Linked DNA regions of Saccharomyces cerevisiae S288C. The gene in region 1 interacts genetically with each later gene. Each region holds a gene or a part of one and is shown in the gene's direction. Other genes may lie near its edges. The genes, in order: TIM17, MPT5 and MIX23.

Region 1 (4,869 bases):
AAGATCTCGTTAGCGTGAACCAAGACCAATCTTCCGCTGAAAATTATGATGACGATCCTCAAATTATTATACTGAAGCCGAACAGGGCAGTAGCAATGTGCATTAAGGAATACTTTACTATTTACGGGAACGATTTTGAAGGTGAAAGTAAAAGGTCGATGTTTCATCAAATGAACGATTTACAGATTATGAAAGCATTGTTTGGCGATAAATGGAGTTATATAGATAGCGTTGGATACTGTGCTGTTCCCATAGCTAGCGTGCCAGCGAATAGATTGAATTATAAGATAATCGAATTTAAAATCCTGAAACCTTGGGAAAGACAAAACTACATTGCTGCCGGTCAACATCGAGAATCTATTATGAACAAGTGGCTAGATCTTTGGCGAGACTTTTTGAACCAAGCAAACTAAATAAGAATAGTACTGCTTTTCCGCAATTCTTCAATATTCATTAAAGGCGGTCCGGTACCCTCTTCATAGTTAATCCCATCATACTTATAATGTGTTTCATTAAAATGCAGTTATAATAACAAAAAATTATATTTTTTTTTGCTGAAACATGCCGGTACACCGTATTTGTAATCACTTCCTTTTGTATACTACCACATAGTCATTATCCTTCTTTTTAATTCCTTTTTTTTTGGTTTCCTTTATCATCACTATATCTGAAAGTTCAAGGTTATTTTAGCACTTCTACATTCTCGGGTGTGGCTAGAATTGGGCGGAATGAAAAAAAAAAACTATGTCCATCGCTTTACTAATTAGTGATCGCACCAAGAAAAACGAGCTGTACATTGCAATTGTACCTCTTTTTTTTTTCCTACTTAGAATCCCAATCGTAATTAATTCACTAAATTAACATCCTTAAAATGAAATTCGACAATGACAGTGAGAAGCAGGTTTTCGATAAGCTTAAAAAAGCGATTCCTGGTATTATCAAGGAAAAATGTGCAGGATACGATGAATTGTATGGTTACAAGTTGAATCCTGAAGGTCTTACACAAGAGGAGGTTGATAAATACTATGACGAAAAAATCGCCGATCGTCTAACCTACAAACTTTGCAAAGCCTATCAATTTGAATATAGCACCATTGTACAGAACCTGATCGATATTTTGAATTGGAGGAGGGAATTCAACCCATTGAGTTGTGCCTACAAGGAAGTCCATAATACAGAATTGCAAAACGTTGGTATTTTGACATTCGATGCAAACGGCGACGCAAATAAAAAGGCTGTCACTTGGAACTTATACGGCCAACTGGTCAAAAAAAAAGAATTGTTTCAAAATGTGGATAAGTTTGTACGCTACAGAATCGGGCTCATGGAAAAGGGTTTGAGCTTATTAGATTTCACCAGCTCCGACAACAACTATATGACCCAAGTCCACGATTATAAAGGCGTCTCCGTGTGGCGAATGGATTCTGACATTAAAAACTGTAGCAAGACGGTCATTGGAATCTTTCAAAAATACTATCCAGAACTGTTATATGCAAAGTATTTTGTTAATGTCCCCACCGTTTTCGGCTGGGTTTACGATTTAATCAAAAAGTTCGTTGACGAAACCACCAGAAAGAAGTTCGTGGTATTAACCGACGGCAGCAAGTTGGGTCAATACTTGAAGGATTGCCCATATGAAGGGTATGGCGGGAAAGATAAGAAGAACAATCTGACCAAGCAAAATGTCACAAATGTCCATCCAACAGAATACGGCCTTTACATTTTACAAAAACAAATCATCGAGGACGTTGAGTGATTTGTTGGCATGATCTAATAATAGTCTCTTATATAAACCCTATAATAATTTCTTATTTTTGCCTTATATTCAGGTAAATCACCATCTAACTGTATTATCTCTCACGTATCTTCACTTATATGGCTCAGAAAACACCGTACGAAACGAAGGGGCTGCGAAAATGTTTCTAGAAGGTAATGGCAATAATAGGGATACAGATCGATCAGATCCGCCTATATAAAAGACAACGCACCGAAGGTGAACAAGATCGCAGATAAAGGTATTTACAAGGGAAAAAAGTCAGCAAAAACAAGAGATAAGATAACAAGAAGAAGATGTTAAGGAGGGAAACTTCAACAATATACAGGACACACAAAAAAAGCAACAGTAGTATACTCAGGAGCCAGCGGGACCAGACTAGAGTGGATTCCTTGGTAGAGGAGTCTCCCATGGGCGATTTCGGGATCAATAACCAGCCTACACAGCCTGGCGTGATATACTACTTTGTAGAGCTGACTAATTTAGGCATACAGGAAAACACAAGCAGTAATAATAACAACAACAATAATCATGGTGACGATGAAAACGGCAGTCGATACGGCCACGGCAGCAGTCTGGGTGGAGACGTTCACTCTCGCCGTTGTTCATGAACTCCAGCATTATAAAGCATATCTAACAATACCATTCGGGTTATACTGAATAGCCCACGCACGGGTTCGGGGTTGTAACGATTATATGCATTTCATAACATGCCACTGTCAGTGGCGCCACGGAAGGATAGCGGGACTTTATCAAATCATTAATTTCTGTGCATAAAGTGTATAGTATATTCATATAGATATGTATATATATCATTGAATACAGAAATCTTCGGGTGTATACAACGAACATTCATCGGACGCCTTTTTTACTGCTATTGTTCAACAAAGTGGGTAACCCGGCATTCTTGCGCCAAAGTTTCCATTTTTATGCCAAATCCAGAGGATAAAAGCACTATTCTCATCAAAAGATGGAAAAGCTGTGAAAGAGTCAAGTTCAGAAGAAAGCGTTAAGAAAAATAGAGTACACGGGAGCGTTATGTCAGCCGATCATTCGAGAGATCCATGTCCTATAGTCATACTAAATGATTTCGGTGGTGCTTTTGCCATGGGTGCCATTGGTGGTGTTGTTTGGCATGGGATTAAAGGTTTTAGAAATTCGCCATTAGGTGAGCGTGGTTCAGGAGCTATGAGCGCCATTAAAGCGCGTGCTCCCGTACTGGGTGGTAATTTTGGTGTGTGGGGTGGTTTATTTTCGACTTTTGATTGCGCTGTGAAGGCCGTTAGAAAGAGAGAGGACCCATGGAATGCTATCATTGCAGGGTTTTTCACTGGTGGCGCTTTAGCTGTAAGAGGTGGTTGGAGGCATACAAGGAACAGTTCGATCACGTGTGCTTGTTTGTTGGGTGTGATTGAAGGTGTGGGACTAATGTTTCAAAGATATGCTGCTTGGCAAGCCAAACCTATGGCTCCTCCTTTGCCCGAAGCACCTTCCTCTCAACCTCTGCAAGCTTAGGCATGTAGACATTATATGAGCCATTTTTTCATCGTTGTTGGAAGTACCCTTATTCGGCATGTTTTTTGTTACATAAATGACGTATCGCACTAGCCTCCTTTACGTTTTTACTTTATTTCAGCCTTTTATTTCAAGATTACCAACCATTTCTCTCAACCATGTACATATTATATATTGAAAAAGTACCATACTTCATCTCTGAAGAGAAAATATCAACAAGCCAAAAGCTAGTGCAGAAACTTTATAATGTTACTTTATTAATTGTAATGACTATACGTATAAGGAAAATTAAGAAAAGGCAAAATTCATATTTATTTAGTATATCATTATGGCACCAAGCCGTAATAAAATGAAATGGGTAGTTAAGAAAAGTCAGACAAAATAACGATTTATTCTTCGACAATGTGAAGTTTATTGAACGCGCTTGTTGGCCCTTCTTGAACAGAATGAGTAACAGCAAAATTATTGGAGATGTCGCCAGATGTATTCTCCTTCCTTTTACTGATAGCACCAATGTCGACGCTATCAGCACCACCAGTGGCAGAGCTAGGATTATAGACATAGTTGTGGCCTGCATTGTTACTAGAGTCGTTCGCACTTCCATATTCACTTTGCTGGCCTTTTGCATCGTCATGTTTTTCTGAAGGACCCGGTAAAGACGATCCTGGAGGAAACCACTCACCTGTAAACTCCTGCTTTGTTATGAAGGGGTGTAGCATAGCTTGTTGTGGTGTCCATCTTTCTAACGGGTTCAAATTTAGCACACCGCCTAAAAAGTGGATCAAACACTCCCTATTCTGCATTTCTTGGTCGATAAGTTCTTGGGAGTTCTGTATGCTTTTAGGATACCTGTAGTTTCTAATAATATCTGGTAACTTTCTCCACTTAAAATATTGTTTACTGGGCTTTTCCACTATATTGTATTCTCTGCAAAACTCTTCAATAGTTTTCATACGATGCTTTTGTGTAGAAGAAGAACTTTCTTCTGGTGCCAATTTCTTCATAAATTTTCCAGAGTTTTTACCCATATCTATCATCCACGATGGAGGATATCCAAGCGTGTCTATTATTCTTGTTAATTGGTTATATTCAGAAGCGCCTGGGAAGATCGGTATACCCAAAAATAATTCAGCAACAATACAACCTAACGACCACATGTCAATACTGGTTGAATACGGTATACCCAGTATAATTTCAGGAGCACGATAAAACCTGGACTGGATGTATGTATAAACGGTTCTTGCCTCTTCGCAAGATGAGCCAAAATCAATAATTTTCAATTCCGGCTTATCAGGTGCGCAGAGCAAGATATTCTCTGGCTTCAGATCGCAATGAATCAGTTTGCTTTCCTTCAAAACGCATAACGAATCCAGTATTTGAGTGGTGAATGTTCTGATAAGTTGTATAGAGAGCCCATGAAATTTGTTTTGTTTTAATAATTCGTACAAATTATTGCTTAGTAATTCAAACACTAAACATAAGTGGTTCTTGTGGACAAAGGAGTCATACATCCTTAAAAAATGATGTTTATTAGTAGGGTCTATCTTTTGATTCAGTAGCTCTAAAATTTTAGCCTCCGT
Region 2 (7,292 bases), on another chromosome or scaffold:
CTACTTTCAATTGAAGAGAATACCCGCTTCTTTTTTCGAATCTATTAAGAATTTTTATTGCAACCAACGCACCTGTCCCGAGATCTCTTGCTAATTTCACTTTGCCGTACTGTCCATTACCCAAAGTGGCTAAAATTTCAAAGTTGTTAAGGATTTGTCTCTTAGTTAAGGGATTATATAATAGTTTGACTTTTCTTGTCTCTTTTATACGACTACTACTATTGCTCGCATTATTATATAACAGAGATGATCGAGGCAGCGGCTGAACAGGTTCTTTAAGTAGTACCATATTCTTCAAAGCTTCCTTTTTATATGCAGAATATGTGCGCAGCAATTTCAAGGCGTAGAGTACGAGTCACTAGAGGCTCGAGCATTATATACCACTTACAAGTAGTGTTTCTTATTGGGGACACCTGTCCTAACAATGTATGGCTTTATATACCGCGCGGATAAGTAAGGCACACCCGCTCTTCGTATAATACCCGCACAAAAGATTCAGGGACCGGGTATGCTCAACGAAAAAAATAGCCAAGATTGTTGCGAGTCCTCATCAATGAGGACATACAGAGAATAAAAACAGCCATATTTTGCTTGCTGAAGGACGTTGTGCAAACCGAAGATATCAGCGGTAGTCTTTATAGGACCCGTTGGTTTATTATATACAAAGGGATCTTTAAAAGGTCCGGTGCGAGGGGACGGGTGGAGATGGAAGTTATCAACCAAATGCAATTTATCCGAAGCGCAAAAAAAATAAAGGTGCTCCGATGGACCTTAGAAAGGAACTCCAAAATGCTGTGATGGACCGGCGAGGGCGGTAAACGAAACTACCACATTGCATAAGAAACAAAATGTACGGCCCCTTCTACACAATCTATTTATGGTTTTCGTCTTGACCTCCTAATTACTTAATTAATGATTACATTTCTTAAAAGCACAAAAATAAAGTAGCTACCCTTCTTAAGCCATAGTAGTTAAAGCCTCAAGTGCATTGATAATCTCCTGACCCTAGGTCGTCTTTCGCGTGGGCTATCGCCACCTAAGGAAAGGATTAAATGGAGCAAGTATTGGAAATGTAAAGAAATTGCAGAATGTTCTGATTACTTTTCATCACCCAAAGAGTCCATACTACCACTACCACCAACCATTGCCGGTGAGCGGTTTCTTGCTCATTAACATGACGTACAAGGGAACGGAATGTCCCTTGTACGTTGTAATGTCTTTTGCTCTCGTAAAGAAGCCTATACACGCCCCTTCCTTCCGCCCTTCGGCATCCGCTGCCAACTGGGTGGGGGCTCAATGGATCTCTTTACTCTGGCCCTTAGAAGCCTTCTGAAATTCTCGGCTTAGGCATCGAACGATGAAGAAACTAACTAAAAATATACGCCATTTTTTTGGGGAGGGGGGGCCGCACTGAAACGCGAAATGCCAAAAAAACGCGAAACGCCGCAGTAAAAGGTCAGTACCGCGCAAAAAATACAAAAATGACAACAATATTGGCCTTTCTTTTCCTAAAGCAATTAACTGGAAAGCGAGGTTCTAAACATCTGGCCAACCCCTAAATTTTTAATAATTCCGAAGCGGGATATATTGCATCTGGCAATCTGAAAAGCAATAGAAAGAAGCGGCCTAGTACTGCATAGTGAGTGATAAAATATACATATTAAGGTTGGGGAAATGGTACGCGCTTTCAAGTAGCTAGAAAGATCTGAATGTTCTGAAGTACGGTTTGGATTTATACGCGGTTATTTCCTGGACTAGCTTAGAGCCAATTAATACTGACGATTGCCTCTTTTTCTTTACCGTTTATGTATGCTGTATGCCCTTTTCATGTATAAAAGAAGGGTAATTTAAAAAAGTTTATAATCATCCAGATTCCTTATTTTTTTTCTTCTTTCGCCAGGTGTTTTACCCAGCTAAGACTAACCTTGTGGTTCAGATTACACTAGTATTGCCGTCCGATATTACAATTCTGAAATCAGTTTTCTTGTGATCATTCTTTTTTTCTCTCTTGCCATTCTTAAACGTGGCCTACAAGAACTCTTCTTCTTTCCTGGTTCGCATCTGTGTTAAACGTATAGATTTTCTTACATAGAGGCCTAAAAAGCATAATAGGTGGTTTCCTTTCAATATATATCTGAAACATTGAATATACTGAACACAATTCACATTTCAAAACCTTGGGTACTGTTGAGTCAACATCAAGATCAGCCTATTTCATAATTTACTTTATCTTTTCACACAAAAAGAGAACAGGTAAAAAAGAACAGATCTGCTAGCCCCGAGAAGATCATTGACACATCATTGATTGGCAAGTTAAGTAATAAAAGAAAGGTAATAACATCAAGAAGTCAAGCGCCTTGAAATTACTAGATTTGGACTACGGATCAGCAAAAGCCTGCTACTACAACCGCCACTTTTACTATTCCTTAAGATAAAAGCTAAAAAACCAAAAAAAAAAAAAAAAAAACCTCCTCAACTCCTCTCCAACACATAGTAAAGCGAATTCTACGCAAATTTATAAATCAATTACGATTTTTCCAGTTTCTCTTATGGTATGTATTATCTCTTAATTCCCAATATTTTTCTTCGCCAATGGAGCATAAGCTTTAACGGGATCTTCTAACAACAAATAGCATAATAACCAAAAACCAGCTTCAGTGGGATCAGCCTATCGACACGCCTTTTTTAGCGGTCTAACAATCTCCGTTTATGTCGTATGGAATTTCTGATACTTGACCCTACCTTATTTCTCGAATATGCCTATAAGGATTTTCTCGAAAGAAGGGCTTCGGGAAAGAGGCGCCTCAGGCAAAAATGAGCAAAAAAAAAAAAAAAAAGAAAAGATTCGAAGATCTATGAAAAATTTATGCAGATTCGTTGAGAGTTATAAGGATTTTACTCTTTATGGTTATAGGTTTCATTCTAAAATCAAGCATAAATTTTGTGTTTTGTCTTCCTCTTTTCCTGTCCTCTTTTTTTGCCATCCTCTGTCGCCATTGAAGTCGAACTTTATAGATAGATTTACTCTTGATTCTCACGCATCTCAGGCCACCTGGACACTGTACATGGTTGTGATTGTTCTCTTTCTCAGTTATCGAAATTGATCCTAGGCTTATACTCCAAAATCGGCTCTGCACACGCCTTATTTTTGTGGTTTCACTTTACTAACACAACATTCTTTTATTCAATCAGATCAATAACGAACCATTTCCATCTGCCGACTCAGCATCGATTTTAACTACGTCTACATCAAATAACTCCTTAATGTCTTACAATCATCAGCCTCAACTATCTATTAACTCCGTCCAATCACTCTTGGAGCCCGTGACCCCTCCGCCTTTGGGCCAGATGAATAACAAAAGAAACCATCAAAAGGCTCATTCGCTTGATCTCTCTGGTTTTAATCAGTTCATATCATCGACACAATCTCCCTTGGCTTTGATGAATAATACATCAACATCGAATTCTGCTAACTCTTTTTCCCCGAATCCTAATGCTGCTAGCAACTCCACTGGGCTTTCAGCCTCAATGGCAAATCCTCCAGCCATTCTACCATTAATCAATGAGTTTGATCTGGAAATGGATGGTCCCAGGAGAAAATCAAGCCACGATTTCACGGTTGTTGCTCCTTCGAACTCTGGTGTCAATACCTCCAGTTTAATTATGGAAACACCATCCTCTTCAGTGACTCCTGCTGCATCTCTCAGAAATTTTAGCAATAGTAATAATGCTGCTTCCAAATGTGGAGTGGATAATTCGTCATTTGGTTTGAGTAGCTCAACGTCTTCATCTATGGTCGAAATCAGCGCACTACCCCTTAGAGATCTGGATTATATCAAACTTGCCACTGACCAGTTTGGCTGCCGTTTTCTTCAAAAAAAATTAGAAACCCCCAGTGAATCCAATATGGTGAGAGACTTGATGTATGAACAAATTAAGCCATTTTTCTTGGACCTTATTTTGGATCCGTTCGGTAACTATTTGGTTCAAAAACTATGCGATTATTTAACTGCCGAGCAAAAGACATTATTAATACAAACAATATATCCAAATGTTTTCCAAATATCAATCAATCAGTACGGAACTCGTTCCTTACAGAAAATTATAGACACTGTCGATAACGAAGTTCAAATCGATCTCATTATTAAGGGATTTTCCCAAGAATTTACTTCGATTGAGCAAGTGGTTACTTTGATAAACGATCTTAATGGTAACCATGTGATTCAAAAGTGTATTTTCAAATTCTCGCCATCAAAATTTGGTTTCATCATAGATGCTATTGTAGAACAAAATAATATCATTACCATTTCTACCCATAAACATGGTTGTTGCGTACTACAAAAATTACTAAGCGTTTGTACTCTACAACAAATTTTCAAAATTTCTGTGAAAATTGTGCAGTTCCTTCCTGGATTAATCAACGATCAGTTCGGTAATTATATCATCCAATTTCTGTTAGATATCAAAGAATTGGACTTTTACTTATTGGCTGAGTTATTTAACCGTTTATCCAATGAATTATGTCAACTATCTTGTTTGAAGTTCTCCTCAAATGTTGTGGAAAAATTCATTAAAAAATTATTTAGAATCATTACTGGATTTATTGTTAATAACAATGGGGGTGCCTCCCAAAGGACTGCAGTTGCTTCTGATGACGTGATTAATGCTTCTATGAACATTCTTTTGACTACCATTGATATATTCACAGTCAATTTAAATGTGCTAATCAGGGATAATTTTGGTAATTATGCGTTACAAACGCTATTAGACGTTAAGAATTATTCTCCTCTGCTTGCTTACAACAAAAATAGTAACGCAATTGGGCAAAACAGCTCTAGTACATTGAATTACGGTAACTTTTGTAACGATTTTTCATTGAAAATTGGTAACTTGATTGTCCTTACAAAAGAATTACTTCCAAGTATTAAAACTACATCCTATGCAAAGAAAATTAAGTTGAAAGTTAAAGCTTATGCAGAAGCCACAGGTATACCATTCACTGACATATCTCCTCAAGTCACTGCAATGAGTCATAACAATCTTCAAACGATTAACAACGAAAATAAGAACCCCCATAACAAAAATAGTCATAATCATAATCATAATCATAATCATAACCATGCTCACAATAATAATAACAATAATAATCAAAAGAGTCATACCCGTCATTTTTCTTTACCAGCTAATGCTTACCATAGAAGAAGTAACAGCTCTGTAACCAATAATTTCTCAAACCAATATGCACAAGATCAGAAAATTCACTCTCCGCAACAAATTATGAACTTCAACCAAAACGCATATCCCTCGATGGGAGCACCTTCTTTCAATTCTCAAACTAACCCACCATTGGTAAGCCATAACTCGTTACAAAACTTCGACAACCGCCAGTTTGCAAATTTAATGGCACATCCTAATTCTGCTGCACCAATCCATTCGTTCTCATCATCTAACATTACCAATGTGAATCCTAATGTTTCAAGGGGATTTAAGCAGCCTGGATTTATGATGAATGAAACCGACAAAATTAATGCTAATCACTTCTCGCCATACTCTAATGCAAATAGTCAAAACTTCAATGAATCTTTTGTGCCTCGTATGCAATATCAAACGGAAGGTGCAAACTGGGATTCAAGTTTGTCAATGAAGTCGCAGCATATTGGTCAAGGCCCATATAATCAAGTTAATATGAGCCGCAACGCTAGTATTTCCAATATGCCTGCCATGAATACCGCTAGAACATCTGATGAACTTCAATTCACTTTGCCATAATACTTTTTTTTCTTTCTTTTTCTTTCCTTCTTACTGTACAAATATTTTACGCAGAAATCAAAGACAAAAGAAAAATAAAAAATAAAAAATAAAAAATTCAACTAAGCAATGACGTCCTACTAAAGTCCCAAAATTTGAGCCGGAAAAAAATGGTAAAGCAAACTATTGCCATCTTTATATTTTGTATTCTGTTTCCGAACACGTATCCAAAATCCTCCCACTGCCTTTGCAGGGTTAGCATTGCTCCCTACCAAAATGATCTAATTTTTTTTTGAATCGTTTTTTGTCAACGATTATTTTTGTTTTAAATTCCTCATCTTCTGAACTTACGCCCAACTATTATTTAATTCATTCATTCATTAAGCAATCCATACGTCCATTCATTCATTCAGTTTTCTTTTTGTCTATTACTGTCATTTTATTTTCAAATCCAATTGTCCTTTAGGACACTAATGTGTTAAAATATCCATTCGCTCAAGCATTTTTAATAAATAGGAAAATACCGTTTGTTTTTCTTTGTCATTTGTATAAATTTTTCTACTGGTTCCTGTCTTGGTTGGCTTTATTATATTTAGGTTTAACTTGTACTAACAATGATACATATTTGTATATTTTATTATAATATCATATCTAACTATATCTAAAATCGTTGAACTATTCAGAATGGAATTGTACACCAAGAAGAATTATGCTATAACACCATAAGGTCATTACATTTGGGTTTTGACTGCTAATTAGTTCGAAGTCGGCGTTAAAATTTAAAGAATATTTATACATATGAATATGTATATGAATGCAAAGTATGCTAAAATATTTATAAAGCAAAAATCTCGGTGGGCTAAACTAGGTCAAAGCAGATGTTATGAAGATATTGGCCCCATTGTAGGGATCATCTTCTCTCCGAATTAAGATGCATATTTTTTGAGAAAGTGCTTCTTCAGGTATATCGTAAGGTGAAGTACTGCTCTCTTCACCTAGAGGTTCCACAGCATCAAACGGATTTACGTACCTTGGGGGTATGAAAGCCGAATGTAGGTGGATAGATTCAAACTGGAAGTTTTCTAACCTACAGTAGTTCTTCATACCTCCTATTGGATAGAGGGTGATATTTCCACCTTCGGATTTTTCGTAGTCAAGATTTCCAGATAAAGTGGTACAAAATACTTCAAAATCACCCTTTCCGTCCCTAGCGCTAGTTGAACCATAAATGAAGTAGCGCCCGTCATCCGATATCTCGAGTATTTCTGTATCCTTAGTCACGTTTAAGAACTTAGTTTTAAAAGATACAACCGGGATTTCGGTCAGAATGTCCTCCAGGAACGTATCTGCTATAACCAGTTGTTGCACATTCTCTTTGTCTGCCATTCCAGATATAAGTATTAGGCCTTTATTATTCAATGCTTTTATGGAAACAACAGATTTTAGGGAATTTCTGATAGGTTGATTTCGACTTTCTGATGTCATACCGTTGGTCTTGGAGTACTGTAATGTCATGTTTGTAATATTAGTGAAGACTATTGCCA
Region 3 (4,753 bases), on another chromosome or scaffold:
AATAGCGGTAAACTGATTCACGCTAGAAGTATATTTGAAACACATGTGAATTTTCCAAATCCTGCCTTGAAAGACTGTTCCTTTACAGAAACACCCGCTATCTTTAAAGTAAGCTGGCTTTGCCAGCGTAATCCTGAGTATACATCGTTGTTGATTGCAACAAAAGCTACAGAAAATCCCTGTTTACCTCAGGAAATAACCATGATTGACTTAGGCGGCACACCAATGTATTCTGTGACATCATTTGACGCAATGAGCAAGTACTATGCTAAACCGGTTCAACAAAAACTATTTTCGTTGATTGGCAAAGCTCCACTAATAAATTTTCTACCCTTGCCGAAGGCTTCTCCATATTTTGGTGGATGCCATGACACAAACCTCATTTTATTACTTTTAGAAGATGGCGAACTTGAAACATTGATATACCCAGCAGGCTCTTTTAGTTCCAAGGCCTCCATTTTCCCTCGGAGCTTAGCATGGGTTCGACCAACGGTTACTACTTGTATAGCGCAATCAGTTCAAAAAAATCTTTGGCTGGGGATGATGACAATCGCTCAAAGTGAATCGTTTTTAAAAGGTGGTATTCCTGCCACCAGAAATATTAGAAGGCATGAGACCAGATCTGCTTTACTAACTGGGCATAGTAATGGTTCAGTCAGAATATGGGATGCTTCACACAGTGAAGTAACTGACAACGCTGTATTTGAAGTGAATACTGCTAAAGTACTTAACAGAGCTACTAACCTGGCCATAAAAAATATCTCCTTTGCATCGGAAACATTGGAATTGGCGGTATCATCTGAGGTTGGGGATGTTATTCTTTTCAAATTCGAAACAAACAAGTTTTACGGACAACTTCCCAAAAGCGATGCACTGCAATTGAAGTTTAGCAGATTTTCATTGGATGATTCAAAAACTATTTTAGTTGATGTTTCGGATAGAGGGCCTACGAACGTTAAACAAGGCTTTATACCAAGTACGGTAATACATGCTAAAAAAGGTGCGGTGTCCGCAATCATGAATAGTAATATCGGGTTCGTTGCCGTTGGTTTCATTGAAGGAACCTTAATAATATTGGACAGAAGAGGCCCGGCTATAATCTTCAATGAAAATATTAGGGTCATTTCTAAAGCTGGTAGCTCTTACGTTTCAACCGTTCACTTTTGCGTCATGGAATATGGAGATGATGGGTTCTCTAGTATTTTGATGCTATGTGGAACGGATATCGGGGAATTGATGACTTTCAAAATACTGCCTGCAACTAATGGAAGATTTGAGGTTAAATTCACTGATGCAACAAAGACCAACAATCAAGGAAAAATTCTAGGAATAAATTCTTTTGCCAAAGATACTGGCTACAGTTGTTCTGCTACTATATCAAAGATGCAGGGTTTAAGCAAGGGTATCGCAATACCTGGATTTGTTACTATCAGTGGCGCAAATGACATTCGTTTAGTATCACCAGGTAAATCTAAGGACACTCATGCGCTTTTCAAGTATCCAATTGCCACTAGTGGATTATCATTTATTCCCATTATTGACGGTAAAGGAGAAAGAAAGCTTTCAACTATTATGATCGTTTTGCTAATTAATGGAGATATTAAAGTTTTGACAGTACCTGAGCTTAAGGAAGTCAAAAATCTACGCTGCCCGGTCCCTCTAAGCGCTCAATACGTTGAAAATTCATCTATATTAGAAAATGGTGACATTGTCATTCGCACAGGGAAATTCCAAGCCTCTTTGATTTCAGTACTTAATGAAAGTGCCACCGGAACGAATCATACTGCTGACATATCACAACATACTCCTATTGATACCTTGTACAATCCTGATTTAAAGATTGGTTATAGGCCTCAAGTGAATTCCTTACAATGGGCTAGAGGAACTATTTATTGCACACCATATCAACTTGATGAGCTACTGGGCGGTATAGAAAGGCCCGAATCGAAGTATGAGGAAAGCGCAATTGCTCGAGGATGCATATCTTCCAGTAGTAGTAATGCAGCCAGAAAGTTACCTCCCGGTACGGAAGATCACAGGTATGCCAGACCTGTAAGAAGCTCTGGAAGAAGTAATGGATATGGTGTCCTTAAAAGTGTTTCTAGGGCAATTGAAACTCGTTTAGACACGGTAGAAACCACTATTAATGACTATGCAACCACAATGGGACAAACCATGAATGACGCAATGGAAGAAACGGGAAGGGATATGATGAAGAGCGCTGTAGGTTTTTAGTCCATAAATAGTTTTTATAAAATTCGATCAGGTTGCCCTTGCTCGCATAAGAATTTTATCAGGCTCTAGACTCTAAGATAGGAGGCTTGAAGCGATTTTGTTGTTGATAAGTGAAGTTTTACACTATTCCATATTGTAGTTTACTTTTGCTTGTTACCCAGAATCGCCTATATATTCACTTTTGAACGTGACGGTAATTTTGTCCGCCAAGTTAAATATCCTTTGGGTAGTTTGAAAAACTTGGATATAGTTAGAAAAAAAACTTCTCATTTATACACGTAGACAAAAAGACGGTATGGTTGATAATAGGCGTACGTTTACGGCACCCCAAAGCTTACTTGAAACAAATCTTACTTTTCCGAATGATGAACCGTCACTTACTACAATCACAGTTACGCGAGAAAGATGTGTTGATCCAAGCTTGATAGATTCATTTTTGAGGTTTCTAAGGCATGGAAGTGATGATATAATAAGACAAAAATTAAACAACTATAGGAAAGGCTCTATTAATGGAAAAAATAAGTGTAAGGAATTTTTGAAGCAAGAACTATATCCGAACTGGCAAATACGGAATAATATAATTTCATTTTGCGAAAAAGAGGCAGCAGAGATGAAGAACGAGACCGATCAGCAGTGCGGTAATAATAAAAAGACTACTGCGGAACCACTTATAGACGCAAGAATTGATCCTTACGCTGCAAGAGAAAGAGCGGAGAAACAGGAAGCTCAATATAAGGATTGGACGAAGGTGACAGAGTGGGTGGCAAATAATAGAAAAATAGAACAAATTTTAACTTCTACAACAGAGGGCATTTTAAGGCAAAACTGCGAGCAAAATAATGACTACTTGAAGGAGTTTACGCAATTCTGCAAGGACAACAGTTGAACGCCCTATTCTTCTAGTCCGCTGAAAGATTATATCACTTAAAGATTCTTGTACATAGGAAGTATACTTATTATCGCCTTTCGTTTATCTGTATTTGTTAAAAAATATGCTCCAACTTGTGTAGTGAAAGAGATTTTTTTGCTAAAACCATTATTGCTGGATGCAAAGGACGCCATGAAGAAAAACTTACTTAGTGAGCCGCTTTTTGGCTTATTAATAATTCTTCTTCTCAAACTGCAATTGCATTTCCCTATTATTCTAGTTAATAGTACGTTAAATCATCAAAAAAAATACTGAAGGATGCGAGGTTCGAACTCGCGCGGACAACCGTCCAACAGATCTTAAGTCTGCCGCCTTAGACCACTCGGCCAACCCTCCACGAATTTTCTAAACCTTTCCGGTAACCAGTTAAATACCCTATTTTACCCGAATCCTCAGAGTCTGTGAATAATTTAATAATCTTTGAGATTCCATTGTTGGTAAGGGTTATACTGTTATGTATACAATTTACTAGAAGCTCTCGTCGATGGTATTGGTGTAGAGAATGTGGATTTTGATGTAATTGTTGGGATTCCATTGTGATTAAGGCTATAATATTAGGTATGTAGATATACTAGAAGTTCTCCTCCAGGATTTAGGAATCCATAAAAGGGAATCTGCAATTCTACACAATTCTATAAATATTATTATCATCGTTTTATATGTTAATATTCATTGATCCTATTACATTATCAATCCTTGCGTTTCAGCTTCCACTAATTTAGATGACTATTTCTCATCATTTGCGTCATCTTCTAACACCGTATATGATAATATACTAGTAACGTAAATACTAGTTAGTAGATGATAGTTGATTTTTATTCCAACAATTGGAATCCTCAAAATGGAATCGGTATTTCCACATAATAGTATTACTACTTTTTTTTTTTTTTTTTTTTCATTTATACTTTGTCATTCAGTATCCTGTTACATTATCAATCCTTGCATTCCAGCTTCCATTATATTTGAAGACTGTTTGTCGATCTTTATGTCATCTTCTTTTTCGGCATGTGATAATATACTGGTAACTGGAATACTACTAAAGGAATGATATTTTAGAGTTTCATCCCAACAATTGAAGAGACGTGACTAATGCTATGTTAAAAAATATGTGGCAGCTAATAACATCATACCATCCTATCATAATATTGTTATCTGTCGTTGCAAACTGCAGATGTGTTTGAAAATGACTTTTAAGTATGTGCCCTCGTTGCCTTTTGAGCGTAAAAAAAGTCACTTACTCCTGCAGAGGGGTTAACTACGCTATAGACGGGCCTTGACACATTTCATAAACACATATTTTCACATGTCAGGAATTTTCTTAACTATGCACTTTTGACGCCTTGCGTATGTTTATTCTATTTACAGCTTTGATGATGCGTACAAGTCTCTAGAATCTAACAATATACGACTCCCTGCACATGGTTGCTATTTTTTATTCAACCTTCAGGAATGAGTAACAAAGATGTTGCTTTGCATGGAAACCGTTTAGGACACACCAAATGATGGCTTAGACAGTAAGCTTCTGAACGAGGGTCCAAATCTAAAATTCGGATATTCTTTTTGACTGAAAACGGAAACTTAACAGGCGCG

What was found.
Region 2: of TIM17 (region 1) and MPT5, extra expression of one rescues a mutant of the other (dosage rescue), as found in Saccharomyces cerevisiae (one study listed by BioGRID).
Region 3: mutations in TIM17 (region 1) and MIX23 impair growth when combined (synthetic growth defect), as found in Saccharomyces cerevisiae (one study listed by BioGRID).

The regions. Positions count from the first base shown.
Region 1 is NC_001142.9:144,289-149,157, forward strand, and holds TIM17 (protein transporter TIM17), read left to right. Parts: upstream 1-2,812; coding exon 2,813-3,289; downstream 3,290-4,869. Other genes in the region: IDS2 (Ids2p), read left to right, coding at 1-413; SFH5 (Sfh5p), read left to right, coding at 872-1,756; ROQ1 (Roq1p), read left to right, coding at 2,071-2,385; IRC9 (Irc9p), read right to left, coding at 3,531-3,923; serine/threonine protein kinase YAK1, read right to left, coding at 3,679-4,869. UniProt on the Saccharomyces cerevisiae protein: Essential component of the TIM23 complex, a complex that mediates the translocation of transit peptide-containing proteins across the mitochondrial inner membrane.
Region 2 is NC_001139.9:164,803-172,094, forward strand, and holds MPT5 (Mpt5p), read left to right. Parts: upstream 1-2,549; coding exon 2,550-2,552; intron 2,553-3,192; coding exon 3,193-5,769; downstream 5,770-7,292. Other genes in the region: serine/threonine protein kinase TOS3, read right to left, coding at 1-289; YGL176C (uncharacterized protein), read right to left, coding at 6,613-7,292. UniProt on the Saccharomyces cerevisiae protein: RNA-binding protein involved in post-transcriptional regulation. Negatively regulates expression of HO by binding to the 3'-UTR of HO mRNA. Predominantly binds to mRNAs encoding chromatin modifiers and spindle pole body components.
Region 3 is NC_001134.8:8,329-13,081, reverse strand, and holds MIX23 (Mix23p), read left to right. Parts: upstream 1-2,530; coding exon 2,531-3,121; downstream 3,122-4,753. Other genes in the region: putative Rab GTPase-binding protein SRO77, read left to right, coding at 1-2,235. UniProt on the Saccharomyces cerevisiae protein: Regulator of the mitochondrial protein import machinery that is localized in the mitochondrial intermembrane space (IMS) and facilitates the transport of proteins from the cytosol into the mitochondrial matrix.